Linked DNA regions of Schizosaccharomyces pombe. The protein of the gene in region 1 interacts with the protein of each later gene in a pairwise test. Each region holds a gene or a part of one and is shown in the gene's direction. Other genes may lie near its edges.

Region 1 (4,998 bases):
TAAATATACAGTTATTATTTTAAAGTTTTCCCCCAAATCTGTACAATAATCCAAAAAAAACCAGCTTTTTTTTTCCAATGGAAAATTTAAACCATATCTCCTATATTCATAGGCATTTCATCTATAACAGTAGAATAGTATTGTTCAATATCCCGAAGAATGCGTACATCTTCATTTGTAACAAAATTAATAGCTACACCTTTACGACCAAATCGTCCACTGCGACCAATGCGATGTATATAGTTTTCTCGATTTGCAGGAAGATCGTAATTGATCACTAATGAAACTTGCTGAACATCAATTCCTCTTGCCCATATGTCTGTGCATATGAGAACCCTACTATTTCCTTGTCGAAAATCTTGCATGATAGCGTCTCTTTCTTTTTGCGGCATCTCACCGTGCATACTGGTAACGGTAAAGTTAGCTTCTCGCATTTTCTCCGTCAACCAATCAACCTTCCTACGAGAATTGCAAAATATCACAGCTTGTGTAATGGTTAAAGTATCATATAAATCACACAGAGTATCAAACTTCCATTCCTCTTTTTCAACTGCTATAAAGTACTGTTTTAAGCCTTCAAGAGTAAGTTCATCGCGCTTGACCAATATTCGAACAGGGTTAGTGGTAAACTTGTTAGTCATTTCTAACACGTCTTGAGGCAAGGTAGCACTCACAACTACCACCTGTGTACCAGGGGGTAAATATCTATAAATGTCATAAATTTGTTCCTTAAAGCCTTGATTTAAGAGCTCATCCGCTTCATCAAGAATAAGCATCTTAACATTGCGAGTTCGCAAATTTCGTCTACGAATCATGTCCGTTACGCGCCCAGGAGTGCCAGAAACAACGTGTTGTCCATAATCCAATTTTTTGATGTCATTTCCAACGGATGTGCCGCCTATACAAGCATGACATTGAACGTTCATATGGTCACCCAATGCAAGTACAACATTCTGGATTTGAACTGCCAATTCTCTCGTAGGAGAAAGTATTAAAGCTTGAGTATCTCGGACTGATAAATCGATCGACTGAAGAATACCAATAGAAAAAGTTGCTGTTTTCCCTGTACCAGATTGAGCTTGTGCGATAACGTCTCTCCCTTTACAGATTTGAATAATCGCCCGGCTTTGCACAGCACTCGGAGTCTCATAGCCATACGCATAGATTCCACGAAGTAAATCCTCTGCATGTTGTTAGAACAAAATTATGGAAATTTTTATCAATTCATTAACTAACCTTTAAGATTCATTTCCTCAACTGCAAAACAATGTTAGCATCATTCACAGTAAGTATTCATATTATAAAAAAATATAATTTACTTACAAGAGGATACAGCATTCACATCTTCCGATGTCGTAAGCTCCACGTTCTCCATTATTTCGTCCGCCATAATGGAAGTTGTAGTAGTTATGTTATGTCAGCCCAACTTGAGGAAAATGAAGGAGAGAAAATTTGACAAGCAAATAGAAAGCTTGGTTAGTTACAAAAATAAAAGAATATTCCTTTAAAAAATTTCAATTGTACGGAAAGCTTTATTAAATATTGACAAGAAGTTTAGATGAACTTATTATTCACATGTTGTTTATTTTCAGTACTCCCAACTTGTTAGATAATGGTATAAAAAGTAAACTAGCGGTTTCTTAGAATTAGACATTACACGAAAAAATTATGAGAGTCTTACATTAATTTTCTACAACTGGAGCAATGGTTGAACACCACCCTTAAGAGTCTAAACAACATTTCAATTCGTCCTAGAATTGTTATACTAATTTCCGTTTTAGCAATCTAAGTTCTCCTAGCACTAACATGCAAATTATCGGCTAGTCAAAACCCATTATCAATTAATGTTTCCTAACCAGAATTGCCCACCACTTCGCATAAATTCAGTTATACATTTCCATGCTAAAAATTACCTAAAATCACTCTCAGATATTATAAATGCTATACACAGTTTACATTTGTGAGCGTTGTCATGAATCTTGTAACCAATGTCATGTTCGCTTGCGATAAGATTGCAAATTGCAATTGTAAGACTTAATCTAATTAATTAAGAATTACTTTTCATCCACTACTGTTGACGTCAATTGACTTCTCTTTTCATAACATTTCTTTGTTTTTTGCATTCTCTTTGTTTATAAATGGGGTTTCTTTGTTTATACATTTGAGCTAAAATGTATAAAAGAAGCATGTATACCAAAACTATTGCATCGTTTTCAAAATGCTTTTAAGTGTAAGAGGCGTGCCGGTTGAAATTCCATCTCTCAAAGATACAAAGAAAAGCAAGGGAATCATTCGATCAGGATGGGTTATGCTGAAGGAAGATAAAATGAAGTATCTCCCTTGGACTAAAAAGTGGCTAGTACTTTCTAGCAATTCTCTGTCGATATATAAAGGAAGCAAGTCTGAAAGTGCTCAGGTTACGTTGCTGTTGAAGGATATTCAAAAAGTAGAGCGTTCAAAGTCTAGGACATTCTGCTTTAAATTGAGGTTCAAAAGTAGTACCAAAAATTTTGAGATTCAAGCTTGTGAATTGTCCGTGGCCGATAATATGGAATGTTATGAGTGGATGGATTTAATATCTTCTCGTGCGCTTGCTAGCAAAGTTTCAAGTCCGATGAATCCTAAACACCAAGTGCATGTGGGAATTGATAATGAAGGAAATTATGTCGGATTACCCAAGGAGTGGATATTGCTACTTCAGAGTAGTTCGATTACCAAACAAGAATGCATGGAGGAGCCGAAAGCAGTTATTCAAGCTTTGGATTTTTATAGTAAGCAGTTGGATACAACAAGCGAAACTAAAGATAGTTTTTCATTTTGCAAAGAGACACTGCCACGATCCTCTACTACATCGTATTCTATTCGCGATGCTGACAAACATCATAAACTCACGACATCTGGAGTTACTAAAATGAATATTACTGAAAGATGCAAGCCGAAGACAACCATACAGACGGATAAAAAGCATATCATAAGGCCTTTTATTGAAGACAAAAGTCATGTAGAATCTATCATGACCGGAAAAGTAACCAAAGTACCGGTCAAAGCAGATTCAAAGAACACGTTGAGTAGAAGAATGACTGATAGACAGGCTTTAGCCATGTTAAAAGACTCAGTTACTTCTCATGATCCTGTCGAATATTTTAATGTTAAGCATAAACTTGGCCAGGGTGCATCGGGATCTGTTTACTTAGCCAAAGTCGTCGGAGGAAAACAATTAGGTATTTTTGACTCAGTTGCAATAAAAAGTATTGATTTGCAGTGCCAAACAAGAAAGGAACTAATCTTAAACGAAATCACTGTCATGAGAGAATCGATTCATCCTAACATAGTGACATATTTAGATTCATTTCTTGTTCGAGAAAGGCATTTATGGGTTGTGATGGAGTACATGAACGCTGGATCTTTGACTGATATTATTGAAAAAAGTAAGCTTACAGAAGCACAAATTGCTCGTATTTGTCTAGAAACGTGCAAGGGAATTCAGCATCTGCACGCCAGAAATATTATTCACAGAGATATTAAAAGTGACAATGTTTTACTCGACAACTCTGGAAATATTAAAATTACTGACTTTGGATTTTGTGCTCGATTGTCTAACCGTACTAATAAACGAGTTACGATGGTTGGAACACCATATTGGATGGCCCCTGAAGTAGTAAAGCAAAACGAATATGGGACCAAAGTTGATATATGGAGTCTTGGAATTATGATTATAGAGATGATTGAAAACGAACCGCCTTATCTCAGAGAGGATCCAATTCGTGCATTGTATCTGATAGCAAAAAATGGAACTCCAACTCTTAAAAAACCTAATTTAGTTTCTAAAAACTTAAAATCTTTCTTAAATTCCTGTCTTACAATCGATACCATTTTTAGAGCTACTGCTGCTGAGTTGCTGACACATTCATTTCTTAACCAAGCATGTCCGACTGAAGATCTAAAATCTATCATTTTCTCTCGCAAAGCGAATACCCATATTAATTAGGTCCAAAATTTACTTTTATGATTATTTGAATATTTTTAACGATCCTTAATGATATACAACTTGCTAGTTTTTTAGAAATTTCAATTAACTTCTCAATTTGCATGTGCGAAACTTTTGAGCTTACTTTTGAATATTAAAGCCTTGAAAGTAATTACTAAAGGTTCTATATGTTTTTTTTTAGCACCCATTTAATTTTGAAGATACTCTTTTTCTGGTCGATAACTAGAAACATATTTGGCGCTACTTATACTAGCTTGCTGCTGAACAATACCATAAATGGTAATATAAATGATCAAAGCACTGCTTACTATAACTTAACATGGGAAGGAAACACAGCTTACAACGTTAGTCTAACTTTATCAACCTGCACTGCTTTTGATGGCGCGAACGATTTGATGTTATATATATCGAACAATACGTTTGACGAAGCTCTTCCTTTAGATAATTTTACGATTACTGCTTCTGAAAATGGTCTAGCAACGATATTTGTAACCGGCTACTCACCTTTATATATTGCTGTGTCCAGTGCTTTTTCTCAATTTGCTCCCAATTTTTTTGTCGAGTCAGGTGAATCTACTTTAGAAGGTAATAATGTGATTAATTATGAATTAGCTGCTGGAATTGACACTCCCTTTAGTCAATACAATGCAACTAAATTTCTGTTTGCCCAGGACACCGACTTTCAAGCAGCACTACTCATTACGGGAAATCTCACTACAAATGAGACCTCCATCATCCCTTCTTATGAGATATATGTCAACCCTTCTAACTCCACTTATGATAACACATTTAACAAATTTTCAAGTTCTTTCTGTGCTTTTCAAAACAACCCCTCAACTGTTAACACTAACAATGCTGATCGCTCAATGACCCTTCGTGGTCTCGGTCCTTTTGCTAAAGAACAATTTTATTTGAAAGGTTTGGATCCCAACGTCACTTACACAGCGTATCTAGTCGAGCCCAATATAGGGCAACCGGGTGGTACTGTTTACCCAGGAGTCACTTTTACC
Region 2 (5,372 bases), on another chromosome or scaffold:
CTTTCAGAATTACCTCAATTTTTGTCACAAGAGAAGAAATTCTCAGTCCCTGTATATGTAGTATGGGGAGCTTGCGAAGATGTGCACGTTTTGGAAAAATTTCGTTCTGGAGAATATTCTATTCCAAACCTTAACATAGTGGACGAACTTCATTCCTACCTATTGCAAATTGGAGATATGAAAATCCGTTTACTTGGTCTTGGAGGTCCTTATGTCCCTTTTAAGCTTTTTGACAATGGAGACGGTAAAGGAACTATTGCTGGTGGCCAGGGTACTATGTGGACTACAATCCTTCAAATGGGTGAACTAATAGAAACCGCTAAGAGCCTGCTTGACAGAGAGGAGGCACGTATTTTTATTACGCATCATCCCATTGGAAGAGAAGGTGTTCTTTCTCAATTAGCTACTGCTTGCCAGGCTGACCTGACTTTATCCGCCGGTCTTCATTTTCGTTATGGAGCTAGCTACAATGAGTTTTGCGTAAATCATAGTCCTGAACATTATCTTCAAAAACTTTCGGCTGCCCGTGCACAGTTTATGGAAGTGTATGACACTGTTAAGGCTGAGGTTGAGAAGATGGTTACCCCTGAACAACATCATCTAATAAACAATGTTGTTCGCCTAGTCTCTCGCATGCCCGATGCAACTAACTCATATGCTATGAATAACATGCTTCCCGGCACTGCTTTTAAAAACCTATGGAACTTCAATTTATTAGATGCTTCCTTTGGATGGACTGTTTTTGTCGTCGAAAATGGGCATGTTCAAGTGGAAAGCAAATCTCATGGCTTTAATTTAGGCTATCGTCGCATGGCTTCACGTCGTAACGAAAATTATGCATCTCACATTCCACGCTCAACTTCGGAAAATACCGGTACCTATTATTACGCTAACAATAGGTTGGTGGAATCTCAAGCACAGTTTACCAAGAACAGAGAAGCTACGGCTACACCAACCGAAGAAGAACAGATTGAAGGGTACGATCAGGAACATACTGATGAGCTAGGAATGTCAAGAGCGAATACTACAGAAGAGTCGGCTGAGACTCATGAAGTAATCGAAGAGAAGTCGGGACCACCTGCTGCCGAGGAAGAACCCATTTCTGGCGTAGCAGAGAAGCCTAGTCCTAATGAAGAAGAACAACCAGCAATTGGAGGGAAAGAGGAAGTTGACGTTGAAGAGGTGACTAAGGGTACTGGAAATCTCGAGCTAGGTGAGACGACTACAGAGGTTACCATACTTGAACAAGAGAATGCTGCAAATGTTACAAGATCTCAAGCACAAGAAGGTAGAAGAACTGATATGCAGAAGGGCAACGATCGTGAATTCCGTCAATATAGTGGTGAGCAGCGTTATGAACGTTGTGGATTTCATATTACCCCTTGCAATTCTGAAGAGGAAGCCCGTTCTTACTTTAAGGACGGGACAGACAGCCTGATTACGAATATTCAAATTCGTACTTCACTCAATCGTTACAAAAGTCCCCAAGCTCCTCAAAACGTAAACCCCACTAACTATGCATATGTATTTGTTGAAAACCAGAATGCTGTTTCAAAGGCCCTTGGAAGCATCAAAGTTCCAGAAGGTGTGCGGGTGAATATCATGCGTGATGATTCGTACTATCGTCAAAATAGAGGATGGTATCGAAATAACCGGATGGAGGGACATGGAACTGGAATGCGTACCAATCGTGGACGTGGACGAGGCGGCCGAATGAACAGAATGCAGCATCCTCGTCCATTACAAAGCGGTGGAAGTGTCAATAAACAAAGCGCTGAACCTACTACCCATGGTTAATGATGAATATTTTTTGCACTGTTTTCAATGCTGTTTTAGAACTGATTTTTATACCATCTTTTCACCTTTTTACTGATGTTAATGCAAAAGTTTACCTCATGAATGATGAAGTTTTCATGAAATTTATCTGACGCACTCATTTACCTCAATAACTGCGAAGCCAAAATAACTGATATGACTCTTTTAAGATATCTTTTTCGAATTCGGTTGTCATTGACAAAAGGGTGCTTACTTTACTTTCTTTCATATCGACTTTGTTTAGAAATAATAAAGTGATTTTTGACAAGATTGATTCGCAGAAAACTATATAGTAAAAATAATTAATTACTTTATGCTAGAATAGCAGTTATTAGCCTTTTCTTCTTAGAAAAGATGTAAGTTTTAATAGATCAAATTCATTAATTAAATAACCAAGTTGAAATTTAAAACACTCACAAACAATAAGCTAGCTACTCAACTAAACAATTTTTTTTTGTTTTTGCAACACAAGGTCCCAACCCTTACCGTATGTTATTGCGGGATGGCCGTATTCCACAGTACAGTATTTACCCATTGCCAGTTCCGCCGATGAATTCTAAAACGCCCACTCTAGGAATAGTTTGTTCAGAGGGGACCATTTCCTTGTCTTTGGAAGAGGGTTTTGAGTTTGTTGGAGTTCCGTTAAGTGGTGAAGGTTTAAAGCTACGAGTTGAAGCTCTAGCTCCGTCAGAGCGTTTGCAGGAATTCCTCGACGATGAAGTAGCTTATCACCCTGAGGGTATGTTTCAAATTTGAAAGAAAATTTATATTAACCAATTTTACTATAGAAAATGTGCACAAGGTGGTCGGTTTATCCTCAGCTTGGCTGGAGTTAGATTCTGAAGACACACTAATCGCTGATCGATCAGAAGAAGTGTTATTAAAGGAAGCATCATATGCTTCTTATTGTGGGTTATCTTCAATCATCCTAAATGGTCCAACTTCACCAATGAACGTTATGCGTTATGCGAGAGCTGTATCTTCTGCTTTAAACTCAACAATGAATCTAAAATTCTTGGTACAATTGGCAATCGAAAGTGGTCATGAAGACTATTTTGAGACATGGAAAATGTGGGACACAATTCGCTCAGCATGTGGTTATCACCCTAGATTGAAGGTGGCCTTAGAGCTACCTCCCGCTTGTTCACCCCCAATCGAGCTAGTAAATCGATGGTACGCGGAACCGATAGAGATGATTACTATGTCATGTATGGCTTTCGTTCCTAATCCCAACGGCTATCCAGTACTTGGTCGTAAGTTGAGGGCTATTTATGCTTTATATCTACGTCTCAATCCTCGAATTTTACTTTGGGATAATGACGCACCCGAGAAAATAGGTGATTCCCCCGACTACAGCATATATATGAAGCACCTCTTTGATTCACAGCCTCCAGCTCCACTTGTAGAAGATCTCGCGGATTCTTATAAAGACTATCTGCAAGTTCCTCTTCAACCATTGAGCTACAATTTGGAAAACATTACTTATGAAATATTTGAGCGAGATCCCGTTAAGTACGCCCAGTATGAGCAAGCAATTTTTTCTGCGTTGATGGATAGAGACGAATCTTCTGTCACGCGAATTGCCGTTGTGGGTGCGGGAAGAGGTCCATTAGTCGACTGTGCTTTACGTGCGGCAATTTCTTCATCTAGAACGGTTGATATGATCGCCCTTGAGAAAAATCCTAACGCTTTTTCCATGCTATTGATGAGAAACCGCCAGGATTGGGCTGGCAAAGTTACTCTAGTATTTGGAGATATGAGAACATGGAATCCTGATTATAAAATTGACATCCTTGTTAGTGAACTTTTGGGTAGTATGGGAGACAATGAACTTAGTCCGGAGTGTCTAGATGGTGTACAACATGTGCTTGATGAAGAAACTGGGATATGCATTCCATCTTCTTACATCTCCTATGTTACTCCTATTATGTCTCCTAAGCTATGGTCTGAAGCTCGTAATATGAATGACCCAAATGCTTTTGAAAGACAGTACGTGGTTTTAATGAACTCATTTGACTTTTTGGCTGCAGATGATGAGTTCCGTTTTCAGTCCCTTTGGTCCTTCCATCACCCAAACAAAGATAGTGAGGTTTATACTAAAAACTTGCATAACAAACGTTTTGCTAGTGTTCGTTTTCAGGCCTCTAGTCCTGGAATCCTTCACGGTTTTGCAGGATATTTTGAAGCTACATTATATAAGGATATTTCTCTTTCAATTATGCCAGCAACTATGGAAGCGAAGTCTCCTGACATGTTTTCATGGTTCCCTATTTATATGCCCATTAAGGTAAGTTACTATATTTTACGTTGCACTGTATACTAATATTTCCTAGAAACCCATGTACGTCCCAGAAAACAGCCAATTGGAATTTCACATGTGGCGATTGACGGACGGTATGCGGGTTTGGTTTGAGTGGTGTGCCAATGCCTATCTGGTGTTGCGGAATGGAAGTCAAATCAAGTTGTCTTCTACGGAGGTCCACAACATTTCCGGAAAAGCGTTCTCGTGTAATATGTATTAAAAATTAATAGTCCTTCTTTTACATTATTGTTTATGGTTTAAAACGGGTCTTCAAACCATTTTTTTGGAGTTTTGATTATAAAAATTTTTTGGATTTAGTTAAATCTGAATTTAACAAAAGTCGATTAGTTTTAGGATAGCTGTTACAATCAAGATTTTGCTGAGAAAGAAGGAGTAATGCTCCTATACTTATTGTCTTAAACGATTTGCCAGAATTTTAACTATTGTTCTTAAACATTCCTTTTTACACAATTAATTAACAGGCAAATTCATTCAACTGAAATACCCTGTCATTTGCTTACTATACTAGTTAATTAATTTTCATTAATGTATTATATTAGTCCGAACTTGAAAATTAACAACGCATTGCGTTATGCCACTCAATTTTATATAACGAATGTTAAGATAGATGGTTTGTTGGAAAATTCTTTAACTGCTTGTAGTACGGAGTATGCACTGTGTTCTTCGCCATTTACAGAATTGTGGGAAGGGTTTATATAAGGGCGATTTTCGACTATGGAACCAGCTCAGAAGAAACTAAGGCAAGAGTCAAAGAACCCGTATTTGGCACACTTAAACAATGGTGATGATTCTGAGGAAGTTGTTTCTTCGAAAGGGTTGACGCGACGTGCTACGACTGTTGCACAAGCAGCTAAGGCTGAAGAAGGACCAAACAATTTTTTTAATGATAAACCTTTTAGTCAAAATTATTTTAAGATTTTGGAAACTCGAAGAGAGCTTCCTGTATACCAGCAAAGAGAAGAATTTCTCAAAATTTATCACGAGAATCAAATTATTGTTTTCGTTGGTGAAACTGGTTCTGGTAAAACAACACAAATTCCTCAGTTTGTTCTTTATGATGAATTGCCTCATTTAACAAATACACAAATTGCATGTACTCAACCACGTCGTGTTGCAGCTATGTCCGTTGCAAAACGTGTCGCTGACGAAATGGACGTTGACTTGGGCGAGGAAGTTGGTTACAACATTCGTTTTGAAGACTGTAGTGGACCTAACACTCTGTTAAAATATATGA
Region 3 (6,899 bases), 300 kb from region 1:
CCTTTTCTTTTTCAAGTTTATTTGCATTAGCTCAAAGGGTTGAACTATTTTTATCTGTTACACATTTGTTGTTGTTGTCGTTGTTTTTTGGTTGGTCTTATTCGTTTTTGGTTGCTATCTGCTTACCCCTTACTACTTTACTGACTGATTTTATTTTTTTCGTCTGATTATTTTTTACCTGCTTTACCCACTTGAGCATTACTTTTTTTTTCATAAGTCAGGATGGCATTCTCTTTAGTTTCGATTTTATTATCGATTGCATTGGCTTGGTATGTTGGTTATATTATTAACCAACTTACCTCTCGCAATAGCAAACGCCCCCCAATTGTCTTCCATTGGATACCCTTTGTAGGTTCTGCTGTCGCATACGGTATGGACCCTTATGTATTTTTTCGCGAGTGTCGTGCCAAATATGGTGATGTTTTCACCTTTGTTTGCATGGGTCGTAAAATGACCGCTTTCCTTGGTGTCCAAGGTAATGATTTCCTCTTTAACGGTAAATTAGCTGATTTGAATGCTGAAGAAGCTTACTCTCATTTAACTACCCCTGTATTCGGTAAAGATGTCGTTTACGATATTCCCAACCATGTTTTTATGGAGCACAAGAAGTTTATCAAATCTGGTCTTGGCTTCTCTCAATTCCGCTCTTATGTCCCCCTCATTCTTAACGAAATGGATGCTTTTCTCAGCACTTCTCCTGACTTCGGACCTGGTAAGGAAGGCGTTGCTGATTTGCTGAAGACCATGCCTGTCATGACTATTTACACTGCTTCTCGTACTTTACAAGGTGCTGAGGTTCGCAAGGGCTTTGACGCTGGTTTCGCTGACTTGTACCATGACCTTGATCAAGGATTTAGCCCTGTTAACTTTGTTTTCCCTTGGTTACCTCTCCCTAGAAACAGACGCCGTGATAGAGCCCACAAAATTATGCAAAAAACTTATCTTAAAATTATTAAAGATCGTCGCTCTAGCACTGAAAATCCTGGTACTGATATGATTTGGACTTTGATGAGCTGCAAGTATAGAGATGGCCGTCCTTTGAAGGAACATGAAATTGCTGGTATGATGATTGCACTTTTGATGGCTGGTCAACACACCTCTGCTGCCACTATCGTTTGGGTTCTTGCTCTTTTGGGTAGCAAACCTGAAATCATTGAAATGTTGTGGGAAGAGCAGAAGCGTGTTGTAGGTGAAAACTTGGAATTGAAGTTTGACCAATATAAGGACATGCCTCTTCTCAACTATGTTATTCAAGAAACTCTTAGACTCCATCCCCCTATCCACAGTCATATGCGTAAAGTCAAACGTGACTTACCCGTCCCTGGTTCAAAGATTGTTATCCCTGCCAACAACTATCTTCTTGCTGCTCCCGGTTTAACTGCTACTGAAGAGGAATACTTCACTCATGCTACTGACTTTGACCCCAAGCGCTGGAATGACCGCGTCAATGAAGACGAAAATGCTGAGCAAATTGATTATGGTTATGGTCTCGTTACAAAGGGTGCTGCTTCTCCATACCTACCCTTTGGAGCTGGTCGTCATCGTTGCATTGGTGAGCAATTTGCCTACATGCATTTGAGCACTATTATTAGCAAGTTTGTACACGATTACACCTGGACTCTTATTGGAAAAGTTCCCAACGTTGACTATTCCAGTATGGTTGCTCTTCCCTTGGGTCCTGTTAAAATTGCTTGGAAGCGTCGTAATTAAGGGAATTTCCCCTAATTTGAATGCATTTGCAATACGCTTATGGTATTGGTTTCTAACTTTGGTTCCGCCTTTCTCTTTTCATGCCCGTGTTAAACGTTTTTGTTTTATCTGACGAGTAACGAATAACCATGAAATTTGCTAGACATTTTAAATTTTAAGTGCTTTATTGTTTTATGAAATTGTAAATATTTTAGCGTTTTAAATGACTATTTGGTAGCATTTCAAATGTCAAAAGAATGTATTATGCAATTTCAAACTTCCTTATCCTCGCACTAAATCGATATGAAAACTACCCTGTCATCATTAGTGATACATTTTTACGATATTATAGTTTTAATAACGTCGGGACGCTCTCTTTCGTTTTCATGTAGGCATTATAACAATAAAGTACGCTACTCTCTCTTTTCAAAACCTCATCGTGCAAACGCAAGGTTTCTCAGTAAGCTATTAATTAAAATTTTGTAGTTTTTAATTGTACCATCGATCCAACCATAGCATTAATAATACAAAGTGGGTAAAAGCGTAGGCTGCTATTCAACTGAATGAAGTTTACATTTTATAAAGGATTAGTGGTATGCTATCTTATGTGTGTCAAGTAACGTATCTGTTGTCTTATTTACTGGATACTTTTGGCATCCTTGATGGGTAAAACTTTTCTGCGTAGCAATTCGCTATTTACTTAAGTTGAGTAATAAAGGGCGTAGACATGTCAACCACCTCTATATTTCTTGACAGGTTGTGACAGTTTCAGTCTCGAATTGAAATGATATCGAGCTTTTCAAATGGTTTTTGGAGTAAAGACTACGCGACTGGTGTGAAAAAACTTTTCGATTGCCTGGATAATGGAGTTGAAGAGAATGAGCAAGGTATTTAAATAAATTAATATAGGACTTCCTCTAACAACGAATAGTAAAAAACTTGTTGAAGTTATATAAAGAAGCGAATGAGGAATTTGGTGAAAAGCTTCAAGAAATAACGAAAGAATGTCTAAAAGGGAAAAAGCCAGAGAATACAGAAGACGGTGCTACTTCTAACAAGGCTTTTGAAGGGTTGCGCTCCGAGATTGCTAATCAAGGAAAGCAACATATTCGTATTGCCAAGGACTTAGAAACGCTAATTATTGCTCCTTTCTCTAAAATGTCTATTGATCATTCTCAGAAGTTACAAACCAGCCAACAAGTTCTTACCAATCAAATAAAGAGTTATGAAAAGAAATACTATACACTTAAAAAAACAAAAAGCGCTTACTACAACAAATGTAGAAACCTTGAAGATTATGAAGAAGAATCAAAGGAGTCCAATGAAACTACTAGTGAGGCTATTACTGACTTAACAACAGTTTCTAGTCCACAGCAGCAATCATTGTTGGAAAATGATGATGATCTGATTCAACTTGGTTTTATGGAGTTTAGGCCTGAGGAGTTAAAAGAGGTTTTGGCTCAAGTATTACAAGAAATACCCTTACAGGATTATCGCGTCCCTATCTTAGGTACTTACCCTAATACATGTTCAGGAAATATTATTGTTTCTTGGCTTCAGGAAAATCTTCCTGTTCCAACTTTAGTTGCAGCCGAGGCATTTGGACAAGATTTGATAGCTCAAGGATTTTTGCGTCATATGGGCGTTGGAGGTAGTTTTGTGAATAGTACCAACTTCCATTATCAGTGGAAAGACAAGGCTTTCCAGTTTGCAGGACTGAATAGTGTAGATAGTCTTGTCGAAAACGCCAAGGCTTTACCATTAGTTGGTGAATATCTTTCTGATTATATAAGTCATCGAAAGCTTTACTCTTCAGAAACTCAATCTCAACGTCTTAAAAGAGAAGTTCTGGATGCAAATAAAATTTACAGCGAATCAGTCGTTGATCTTGATAAATGCCGCACACTTGTGGAAGAAACTATTGCTGATCATTTGCAATTTCTTCAAAAATGTGAAACCGATCGCGTTCTTTATTATAAAGATTTTTTTATGGATTTATCAACAATTATTTCGAACTTTTTGCCTTCCATGAAATTGCTGGCTGATCAGATTGTTGTTTATCAGGAAATAATTCAACCTGAGAGTGACATTAGGTATATTTTAGAGTCTGCAGCTACTGGTCCATTTTTACCTCGTGTCGAAATATATGAGGATTATTATAATGATATTAAAGATCAGATTTTTGGAGTGGACGTTGAGTTTTTGTCTCATAGAGATAAGAAACGTGTTCCCATAATCGTTAGTACGATCCTTTCTTATTTAGATCTGTTATATCCTACGCTTGCCTCTGATGAAGTTCGTCAAAATATATGGCTTGTTAATTCTCCCTTGTCTTCTGTACATCAACTTCGAGAAGCGTTGAATCATTCTTCATCCGTGACAAAGGAGGTTTTATCACAGTATACTCCCTCCGTTGTGATAGGAGTTTTGAAGCTATACTTTCTTGAACTCCCTGATTCCATCGTTCCTTCTTCTGCTTTTGAGCTTATTCGTTCAATTTACATGAATCATAGTAATGATACGCCGTACAGGTTGAGACTTTTACAAAATCTTTTATCCCAACTTCGACGTGTTAATCTTGCTACTTTGAGTGCCATCATTACTCATCTAAATCGCTTGATTACGCTTACTCCAAATAAAGAAACTTTTACTATAAATTTAGCTAACTCCTTATCTTTATGCATTTCCCGTCCAGCAACATGGAATTTGGGTATTCAACATGATAAGCACCCAACGAAGTTCATGGAGGATCTTTTAACTTACGGACCAAGTATTTTTGAAGAACTCAGAAAATTGAATTCATCCAAACGTGTTTCTGACCGTGTATTATATCAATCTTCTGCTACTCCTCGGAGTACAGATGTATCACCAACTAGACCAGACTCCATTTCTTCTGTCCGATCTCATACTGCTGTCGAATCTCCAAGATCTTCGTTTGAGGAGCTGCAACCTTCAGAAATTCCCGCTGAATCTGAATTTACTCTTGAAAATGTGCCCACCTCATTGATCAGATCGTCGTATGCCTTGAATACTAGAAAGACAAGACGTAATTTCAGCCATTCTTCTGCTTCCAATGAAAGTGCCGCAATCTTTATTGATCAGGATGCAAAGATAGTGAACGAAGCAGTCGCCTCAAGAGATTCCAGTTTAAGTGGTAGTTAAAAATATGTTATTATGAGTTAACCTATGATCTTTTTTAAAGATCAGTTATGGATATCTTATTTGCATGACATGTTGCACATTCTTTTCTCATTATTCATTGCATATACCTAATAAACATTTTTCTCTATAGAAGTTTGACCACCATATATTATTGTACCTTCCTATTTTACTAGACTAAATTAGCATTCCTATACTATTTCAGAGTGTAATAGCAACTGTTCACGATTCCATATTCTTATTTTTTCCAAAAACTCGTCAAATTTTTCTTCACCTTGCATAAATGTTGATAAATCGTGCATGCTTAAACCTATCCGATGATCAGTTACTCGATTTTGGTTGAAGTTATAAGTTCGTAGCTTTTCCGAACGATCTGAAGACGTTACTTGATTTTTACGTTTCAGTCTTTCAGCCTCATTTTCTTTTGCGGCATTTAAGGCAGCCAATCTTGAATTCAGTACAAGAAATGCCTTTTCTTTGTTTTGATGCTGAGAACGAGAATCTTGCATGCTAACAGTGATACCAGTGGGTATGTGTGTTAAACGTACGGCGGATTCTGTTCTATTAACGTGTTGTCCACCGGCTCCACGAGATCTCATTACTTCGATTTTAACTTCAGATGAATCGTAAAGAGAAGAGGATTCATCATTTGACACCTGAGGTAAAACGATTACTGATGCAGTACTCGTATGAACTCTTCCTTTAGTTTCGGTAGCAGGAGTCCTCTGAACCCTATGAACACCTCCTTCCAACATAAGATGACCATAAGCTCCCTCACCTTCAATAGAGAAGATGGCCTCCGTTATCGCTTCAAGTCCTTGGACTGCACTTTTTGATATAAATTTGCAATTCCATCCTTTAAAATTTGCATACTGAAAATACATTTCCACTAGTTCATTTGCAAATATTGCGGCCTCTGTTCCTCCTACACCAGGACGAATTTCGATTAATGCAGGAAGAGCATATGAATCAGCTTGTGGAAGTAATGTGTTTTCAAGATCTTCTATGCTTTTTGGTATTTTATTACTTATTTCGTTTATTTCAGTCACTGCCATCATTTTAACCTCTGCATCTGACTCTTGGGCCTCCATTTGTTTCAAATCGCTTATTTGCTAAATTGTTAGAATTTTTTTAAATCAAGGTTTTCAAAAACTAGTTATTTAAGTATTTCAACATGCTCATCAAATAGCTTTACTTAGATAAACAGTAAATGCCTGGCAAAAGTCTTAAGTTATAGACCCATTAGCAAAAAAAAACCATTGTAAATCGATTACTATAAATAGGAAGAGTAATAAAAAAAAGGAAAGCTTTTGACTACAAGTTTGAGACAAATTCGTCTTATATCATACCTCAGACAAACTTTTAAATTTCGAATATGCATTATGAACGCGTCGAAGCCTAGCGATTCGCTTTGCTAAATCTGTATCGTTTGTCATTGCCGATTGATCCTAAAAGATATAAGTTAGATCATTTATATCAGATTTTAATTTTTCATGAGTAAAGCTTAATGTCCGGTATGCTTGTATTACCATTATTATTGTATCTCGAACAGTAGCAGGCTGATTTCACACTTTGTTTGCCGACACTTACTTTATTATTTACTTGATGGAATTGAAGATACTCTGAAGAAAGCGATCGGGCTTTTTCAATAAGTACTCTTGAAACGTTATGCTCAGAGTATCCTTTTTTGCAAGCAATGCTACGAATTTGATATTCAATTCCATGTCTAAAGTACCATAAAACTTTTTTAGTTAGAAGCATCACCTTGTATTTTGAGTTTCTTTTATTTCTGCATACTCAAAGAATTAGCAGTAAAACTAATTAGTGTTAACCTGTTAAAACCGCCTTTCTGACCTTGGTGTGCTTCTTCGATAAGTACTTTTATGATATTTAAGGAGGTCCTTGCAAATTCTGTCGGATATGCATTATAATCCGACAGTGCACAGCAAAGTAAAATTTTGTGTACGCATTCTTAACTCGTAAATTTTTTTTACGAATCTATACACCTAGAAAGAGTTTGCTATTATTTTATGAGTAGAGTCGCCACGAAT

Evidence for each region.
Region 2: the proteins of shk2 (region 1) and skb1 interact in a two-hybrid assay, tested with the Schizosaccharomyces pombe proteins (one study listed by BioGRID).
Region 3: the proteins of shk2 (region 1) and rga8 interact in a two-hybrid assay, tested with the Schizosaccharomyces pombe proteins (one study listed by BioGRID).

Annotation. Positions count from the first base shown.
Region 1 is NC_003424.3:270,934-275,931, forward strand, and holds shk2 (PAK-like kinase Shk2), read left to right. Parts: upstream 1-2,218; coding exon 2,219-3,988; downstream 3,989-4,998. Other genes in the region: fal1 (ATP-dependent RNA helicase), read right to left, coding at 87-1,183, 1,237-1,257, 1,324-1,390; plasma membrane stretch-activated calcium ion channel Yam8, read left to right, coding at 4,156-4,998. UniProt on the Schizosaccharomyces pombe protein: Forms an activated complex with GTP-bound Ras-like cdc42. Participates in Ras-dependent morphological control and mating response pathways.
Region 2 is NC_003423.3:2,274,911-2,280,282, forward strand, and holds skb1 (protein arginine N-methyltransferase Skb1), read left to right. Parts: upstream 1-2,344; 5' UTR 2,345-2,364; coding exon 2,365-2,554; exon of another isoform or gene 2,555-2,603; coding exon 2,604-4,102; exon of another isoform or gene 4,103-4,148; coding exon 4,149-4,337; 3' UTR 4,338-4,714; downstream 4,715-5,372. Other genes in the region: SPOM_SPBC16H5.12C (uncharacterized protein), read left to right, coding at 1-1,797; ATP-dependent RNA helicase Prp43, read left to right, coding at 4,853-5,372. UniProt on the Schizosaccharomyces pombe protein: S-adenosyl-L-methionine-dependent protein-arginine N-methyltransferase that can catalyze both the mono- and symmetric (type II) dimethylation of the guanidino nitrogens of arginine residues in target proteins.
Region 3 is NC_003424.3:569,946-576,844, reverse strand, and holds rga8 (putatiRho-type GTPase-activating protein Rga8), read left to right. Parts: upstream 1-2,421; 5' UTR 2,422-2,473; coding exon 2,474-2,576; intron 2,577-2,620; coding exon 2,621-4,851; 3' UTR 4,852-5,039; coding exon of another isoform or gene 5,040-5,960; 3' UTR 5,961-6,092; downstream 6,093-6,899. Other genes in the region: erg11 (sterol 14-demethylase), read left to right, coding at 223-1,710; mrf1 (peptide chain release factor), read right to left, coding at 5,040-5,960, 6,198-6,296, 6,439-6,609. UniProt on the Schizosaccharomyces pombe protein: Acts in signal transduction. Negatively regulates the pak1/shk1 control pathway.